Sus scrofa: one gene and its partner. The protein of the gene in region 2 interacts with the protein of the main gene of each other region in a pairwise test. Links are inferred from orthologs where the notes say so. Each region holds a gene or a part of one and is shown on either strand. Other genes may lie near its edges. The genes, in order: CUTA and FBLIM1.

Evidence for each region.
Region 1: the proteins of FBLIM1 (region 2) and CUTA interact in binary tests that used the Homo sapiens proteins (3 or more experiments, as listed by UniProt). The two-hybrid records come from large-scale screens. The link is inferred for Sus scrofa from reciprocal best matches to the Homo sapiens genes FBLIM1 and CUTA.

The regions. Positions count from the first base shown.
Region 1 is NC_010449.5:29,719,497-29,723,130, forward strand, and holds CUTA (protein CutA), read right to left. Parts: upstream 2,177-3,634; 5' UTR 2,141-2,176; coding exon 2,076-2,140; intron 1,993-2,075; coding exon 1,941-1,992; intron 1,687-1,940; coding exon 1,478-1,686; intron 1,332-1,477; coding exon 1,272-1,331; intron 1,164-1,271; coding exon 1,118-1,163; intron 991-1,117; coding exon 941-990; intron 814-940; coding exon 687-813; 3' UTR 598-686; downstream 1-597. Other genes in the region: PHF1 (PHD finger protein 1), read left to right, coding at 1-149. UniProt on the Homo sapiens protein: May form part of a complex of membrane proteins attached to acetylcholinesterase (AChE).
Region 2 is NC_010448.4:74,953,828-74,957,635, forward strand, and holds part of FBLIM1 (filamin-binding LIM protein 1), read left to right. Parts: intron 1-1,660; coding exon 1,661-1,778; intron 1,779-3,808. UniProt on the Homo sapiens protein: Serves as an anchoring site for cell-ECM adhesion proteins and filamin-containing actin filaments. Is implicated in cell shape modulation (spreading) and motility.

The DNA of each region.
Region 1 (3,634 bases), on a different chromosome or scaffold from region 2:
GCAGTTTGTCTCCTGGGACTGGGGGAGGAGTCCGAGGCGGGGCTGGCTACCTGTCCCGAGGGGACCCCGTCCGGGTCCTGGCTCGGAGAGTGCGGCCCGATGGCTCTGTGCAGTACCTGGTTGAGTGGGGAGGTGGGGGCATCTTCTGAACAGCTTGCCTCTGCCTGCTTCCCCATTCACACACGCCGGCACTTTCATACCCTGACCTCTGACCTCACCTACAGCTGGGATGTACCTGGGGCGGTAGCGGGTACTTCTCTCTGCTGCCCAGGCTGGAATCCAGGCGGGGAGGTCGGGGAAGAGGCCCTCTCTTCTCCACCCCCTTTGTGATTCCTGACCCTCTCCCCATTCCTCTTCCCATTTCCTTTGATGTTATTTTGTTACAGCTTTTTAAATATTTTTTAAAATTATTTAACCCCTGGGACGGAGACTGAGGAGGGGAGGAGGATAAAGGATCCTGGGCTCTGTATGATTGAAATAAAGATACATGAACAAACTCAGCAGCCCAGAGTCATTCTGAAAGAAGAGTGCAAAGGAACTAGAAGCACTTCCAACCTTAACAACAAATCCACTTTTTGACAAGGAAAGAGACAAATGGCAGAGAGAACTAAGGGTTTATTAAGGCTCCAGTCATGGCCTGAAAGTCAGAGGACACTGAAGGGGAACCTGGCAAGAGCAAAGGCTCGTCATGGTAGGACTGTGCCAGAGTCAGGCACTGATTCTGTAACCTGGCGCACCCAGTGCAGGTATGGGGAGTTCCCCTGCTCCACTGGCAGTGCAATCACCTCGGCCACTTCGTAAGGGTGTACAGAGCTGCAGAAAAGATGGGGGGCAGCGATCACTCAAAAGATTTACCCAAAGGCGCTCACCCTCTCAGACTGCCCAGCAAGGCTCACCCCACAGTACACACCCTCACCTCTACCCATATCAAAGTTCTCACCGAACGAAATCTGTCAAAGCTGGAACCAAGGAACTCTGGGTTTTAATCATCTAAGGGGTGAAGAGGAACATGGTTGAATCAAGAAATTATGTTAATTTCAGGATCTCAGAGGAGAGGTAAAGGTCAAAGCAAGTGGTCAGGGAATTAAGTTTTGCTTGGGTGGGGAATATTTCTCACCATCAGCACTTCACTGTCCTCCTCAATCTTGCCTTTCCACTCATAGCTGAAAAGGTCACGGAGAAAGTGTTGTGGGAGCATAGATCTTCCCCAAAGAAAAAGACTGCCAATCCGCCCCTAGAGTTAGGTCAACCCCCCCAATCCCATGACTCACATGGATGTAATCTGAGGGATGAGGTTGACACAGGCTGCCAGGCGCTTCTCCACCACAGCCCTGAACGTGAGGAGACACCCCCATTTAGAGCCCCCACAACCCAGGTTTTTGCACTGGCTTGCAGGAAGCAGCGGGAGGGCTGCTTCTCTCCACCCCCAACTCTTCCTTCATGAGCATCCTTTCTCGCTCCACACTGAGATCCCCACCTGGCGATCTCCTTGGCGACCTTCTCGTTGGGGCAGGTGACAAAGGCTGCAGAGACCGAGCCGGGAACATAGGCGGAGCCCGAGGCCGGCGTGGGCTGGGTCGGGGGGCTTCCTGAAGCCATGGACAGCAGGGCTCGGGGTAGCAACAGAAGGCGGGAGACTATGGGCAGCAGTGCTGGCATCCAAAGAAGCGACAGGAGCAGAGTGGCCTGAGAGCAGGAGGTGAATTCGGTGTCTCCCGATAAACACCCCAGGAAACTGTCTACCGCTTGCATAGACACTCAGGCTCTGCCCTCCCCCTTCTGTACCCCAAAGAAAAAAGTCCTTGAAGCTGGGAGAGAAGGGTGAAAATTAAGGCAAAGACTCGGTGTCCACTCTCTCCTCCGGGGCCAACCTCTAGGATTTTGAGAGCGGGTAGTGGTCCAGGTTCCGAGGACCGGAAGGGGCGGGGCTGGTAACTCACCCCTCCGCCGAGCAGGATTGCGGGAGCCCGCACCCCCCTCATGCAGCCTATGCTGGTAAAGGAGGGCAGAATATCAAAGACCACATGGTACGCGGAGAAAGTACCCCAAACCCAGGAAGAGAGGCCTCTTCTTACCTGGGCGACAGCCACGTGATAAGAAAACAGCGCACACCACGTGACAAGCCGAGCCACCCTAACATCCAGAGCCAGCCAATCCTTGCCCTCACGTGGGCCGGCTTGCCCCGCCTCCAGCTATGGGCGGAGCTAAGGGGGATCCAGCCAATCAACAGCCGGATCTGCAGCCGTGCACGGAAATGGCCCTCCCGTTTCCGTGTAAGCCGGAAACGGCCAATGGCAGGCGGAGGCGAGCCGCGGCAGCTTTCCACTGTCACGTGAGGGGGCCGGTCCCCTCAGGCGGCGGTACCTCGAGAAGCTATGCGAAGAGGCCAATCGCGGAGCACCCTCGTGAGCACGTGACGAGAGAACTGGCTCTAGGAAAGGAGGGCTAGAGATCCCGCAGAGTCGATGCGTCAGGTTGTGGCGCGGGGAGTCATCCTTAAGCCCTAGAATGCTCCTAGTAACAGCCCCTGCACGGAGGCCTTAAGGAGCCCAAGGGCCGTGGGAGGCTGGACCTCGGGGCTAGAGGGAGCGCCCCCTGCTGTTGTGGTCAGGACTGACATGCCAGAATTGAGGGGGCCCAAGTAGGAGCTCAGAAGCACTCTGTTCTAGGGTAGGGGGCGTGATTAGGCAGCTAGTCCATGGCTAGGTCAGGAAGAATGCACTTCGAAAAGACATAGGGAGTCCCTGAAAATGGATAGAGGGTGATTAAAAAGGGACCCAGGGCGCCTCAGCTTTCTGAACTGAAACCTGAAGCTGAAGACAGACTGGCAAATCGGGAGAGGAGGGCTGCAGGTTGGGCATCTGGAGAGAACACCAGAAAATAGTGTTGGTCTTTTCGTCCCTTATCCCCTTCCTGTTTCGCTCTCCCGGACTTGTCTACTTCTCAGTCTTGGGTCTCCTTCCCTTAACCCATCCCCCTAGGAGCCAGGACCTGCCCTACATAACCTCCCTGGGGCCCAAGCGTATCCTGTGACCCAAAAATTGAGAGAGGGGCCAAGGAGAGGCGAAAGAAGAGGGAGGCGGCAAGGAGAAAGAGGCTCTTTCTACTTCCCCTACCCAGCATTTCCCCCTCCCTCCTAGGTCTGGGGTCTCTGCTCCGCTGGGCGGGTGTGACTGGGCATTCCCCAGGCAGAGTTTTTGCACACGTAGTTCTTAGGGGTTGGGATCTCCCTGAGACCTCTGTCTTGGGCTTTGGAGTCTGCTGCTGAGATAGATCTCTGTGGGGTCTTGCAGTATTTGCATTGGGATCTTTCTTAGGACTGAGTTCCCTTGTTTTTTGTTTGGGGTTTTTCTGGGTCCATGTTCACCCTCTCTCTGAGGTCTTTGAAATTCTTTATGAGTTTGTGGTCTCTGAGTTCTCTATCTCTGGGCTAGATGGGAGTCTCTTCTTCCACCTCCCCACTTCCCCTGGTCCTCAGGTCTGGAATTTCTGTGTCTCTAAGCTATCAGTCTCTGAGTCTGCAGTTTCTTTTTCTTGAGATCTAGGGCTGGGGTCGCTGATAAGTTCTCTGTGGGTCTGAGCTCTTCAAGACCGGATTCCCAATCTGGGTTTCACCTTTTTCTTTGAGTCCAGG
Region 2 (3,808 bases):
GGCAGGCACTATTAAGGGTTCTGGTTTTTATTGTACTTTTTGCCCAATATTGACATTTACTACACCTGTCATATCACAGATCTTTCCCTCTATTACCAATTTTTTCTTTAGATTTTGACTGCTTAATATTTTTTTTTAAACTACACTATCTTTGGAAAGGTAGTTTTAGATTTAGAAAAATTGCGCAGAAAGTGTAAGAGTTCTAGAGCTCCTGCTGTGGTGCAACAGGATCGGCAATGTCTCTGCAGTGCTGGGATACAGGTTTGATCCCCGGCCCATCACGGTGGGTTAAGGATCCAGCCGTTGCCACAGCTGCAATGTAGGCATAGGTTGTAACTGCAGCCTGAATCTGACCCCTGGCCTAGGAACTCTGTATGCTGTGGGGTGGCCAAAAAAAAAAAAAAAAAAAAGGAGATTAAAAAAGAAAGTGTAGAAGTTCTCGTCATGGCGCAGTGGTTAACGAATCCGACTAGGAACCATGAGGTTGCGGGTCGGTCCCTGCCCTTGCTCAGTGGGTTAACGATCCATGTTGCCGTGAGCTGTGGTGTAGGTCGCAGATGCGGCTCGGATCCCGAGTTGCTGTGGCTCTGGCGTAGGCCGGTGGCTACAGCTCTGATTGGACCCCTAGCCTGGGAACCTCCATATGCCGCAGAAGTGGCTCAAAGAAATAGCAAAAAGACAAAAAAAAAAAAAAAAGTGTAAGAGTTCCGTTTACCTGAATCTGACTAGGAACCAGGAGGTTACAAGTTTGATCCCTGGCCTTGCTCAGTGGGTTAAGGATCTGGCGTTGCTGTGAGCTGTGGTGTAGGTCGCAGACGAGGCTCGGATCCCGCGTTGCTGTGGCCCTGGCATAGGCCAGCAGCTACAGCTCCGATTGGACTCCTAGCCTGGGAACCTCCAAATGCTGTGGGTGCGGGGTCCTAGAAAAGGCAGAAAGACAAAAAAAAAAAAAAAAAAAAAAGAATCCAACTAGTATCCATAAGGATGATCCCTGGCCTCGATCAGCTGGTTAAGGATCCGACATTGCCATGAGCAGTTGCTCAGGTTGCAGATGTGGTGTGGCTATGGCGTGGGCTGGCAGTCGAAGCTCTAACTCATCCCCTAGCCAGAGAACGTCCATATGACACAAGTGCAGCCCTAAAAAGACAACAAAACAAAACACCCCCATGACTTAACTTTGGAGCTTTGCTCTCAAACACCAGACCACATTGCCTCCCCTCTGAGCTGGAGCCGTATCGAGTGGTAGCAGCACACGTCTCTGTGAGGCTCCATCCCTGCCCTCGAGTCGCTCACTTCCCACAGGGAGGGACAAATGTGCTTAGTGAGAAAGGAAAGAAGAAAATGAAATACAAGACGCATGAAATGGATCCCTCTGAACACACATGAGAGTTCTCTGCTTTCTCAAATTCCAGCCTTCCTTGGTCACTTCTTTGCCTTGAGCTAATTATACCCTGGGAAGCCAAGTCTAATTACCCGGGTCTCTCCATCCACTCCTGCCAGGAAGAAATAGGCATTTGTGGTTGTAGCTTCAGGTGCAGTTGCATAGCACCAGGTCTGAAATAGCTCTGGGAGGTGAACGTGAACCGCCCAGGGTTCTGACAGCTAATTTCTATGGCCGGTGGCGTGAACACCTCCAGAGTGTGGGTTTCTCTCCCTCTAGGAAATTCGCCCCTGTGTGCAGCATCTGTGAGAATCCCATCATCCCCCGAGACGGGAAGGATGCCTTCAAAATCGAGTGCATGGGAAGAAACTTCCATGAAAATTGCTACAGGTGTGAGGTGAGTGAAACAGTGATGATTTTGTAAGTTGCTGCAGATCCTGTGTAACTGCCGCCCCAGCCCTATTGAGAACCAGGCCCTGGGGCAGGACAAATCCTCTGCTCTCAAATTTCTTCCCATCCAACACAGAGACAAGTAAGGTTGGAGGGAATCCCTGTTGTGGCTCAGTGGTAACGAACCCAACTCGCATCCATGAGGATGCAGGGTTGATCCCTGGCCCCTGGTCAGTGGGTTAAGGGTCCGGCATTGCCCTGAGTTGCTATGTAGGTAGCAGACGCAGTTTGGTTGGGTCTGGTGTGGCTGTGAGCTGTGGTGTAGGCTGGCAGCTCCAGCTCTGATTTGACCCCTAGCCTGGGAACTTCCATATGCCGCAGATGCAGCTCTAAAAAAAAAAAAAATAATAAGGTTCGAAATGATTACACACGTAGTCTATTAATCAGAACTCTTTGAGTTAATGATAGAAACCAAGCTCAACCTTCTTTCTGCAAGAAAAGGGATCTTCCAGCAGGCTCTGGGTGGGGACATCCCCGATAACATCCTGGGGCTCTCTCCACCTCTCGGTTCTCCCCTTTTGTGTGTTTGCTTCATTTTCTCTTCTGTGGGTTGGTGTCCTCCCACAGAAGAGAAAAAGGCAGGGGACACAGGGCATGGTCATGGCTGGCTCAGGTTTATATCCTTCCAACTTGGAAACCATACCCAGGATCCCACATAGTCCCAAGAAGGCTTCTGATTCACCCACCTTGGGTCACGTGCCCATTCTGGACCAATCGGTGGTCAGGAGCTATGATTCATAACCTCTGGGGCCAGGGAGGCAGAACTCTTATGAAACAGACTGGGGTGGATACAACCATAGGAAGCAAGAAAAAGATGCTGGGCAGACCTACACCACAAGTGTCCTTCCAGGTACTAAGAAGGAACTTATATAAATCAACTTTGGGAAAAAGAAGGCAGTGAGCAAGTCTAACGAGGTTGGTGCAGTTGAAGGCACTCTTTTTCTTTCTTTCTTTTTTTTTTTTCTTTTTTGACCACACCCACGGTGTGTGGAAGTTCCCAGGCCCGGAATCAAATCCCAGCCGCAGCTGCAGCAGCACTGGATCTTTAACCCACTGCTTTGCAGTAGAGACAACGTCAAAGGCACGCTTATAGGAGTTCCTGCCATGGCGCAGTGGGTTAAAAATCTGACTGTAGTGGCTTGAGTCGTTGCCAAGGTGCAGGTTGGATTCCCAGTTCTATGCATTGGGTTAAAGGATCTGGCATTGCTCCAGCTGCAGTGTAGGTCACAGCTGTGACTTGAGTTCAGTCCCTGGCCCAAGAACTGCCATGTGCTGTGAGTGTGGCCATGAAATTAAAAAAAAAAAAAAAAAAGCCACTCTTATAGAGGAGGCATTGCTTAACCTGGGTTTTGCAGGATGGGTGGAAGTTTGCCACATATTCAGAGAGGGAAAAAGAAGTACAGAAAGAGGCAAGGGGAGTTCCCATTGTGGCTCAGTGGTTAACGAATCTGACTAGGAACCATGAGGTTGTGGGTTCGATCCCTGGCCTCACTCAGTGGGTTAAGGATCCGATGTTGCCGTGAGCTGTGGTGTAGGTCACAGATGCAGCTCAGATCCTGAGTTGTTGTGGCTCTGGCGTAGGCCGGCGGCTATAGCTCCGATTGGACCCCTAGCCTGGGAACCTCCATGTGCCCTGGGTGCGGCCCTAGAAAAGGCAGAAAGAGGCAAGGACCTGTAAAATCTCACAGTGGCATCAGTGAGCCTGAAGCATCGGGAGAAGTAGAAATTTCTAGGTGTGTCTGAGTACAGCATGGCGAATGGTGTGGTAACTATGGGGCCAGAGAGAAAGAAAAGACCCCGTGTGCCAAGCTAAGAAGTCTGGACCTCAGGCTACAGGGAGTGGGGAGGCTGGTTGGAAGTGCGTGCAGTAGTCCCAGCAGGAAATGCCGGGGAGTGGGGTGGAGGTGACACAGGCCCCACACTCAGAAGGCTCCTGTGCTTGGTTTGAAGCTCTGCTGTCATTTTTAGAAATTCTTC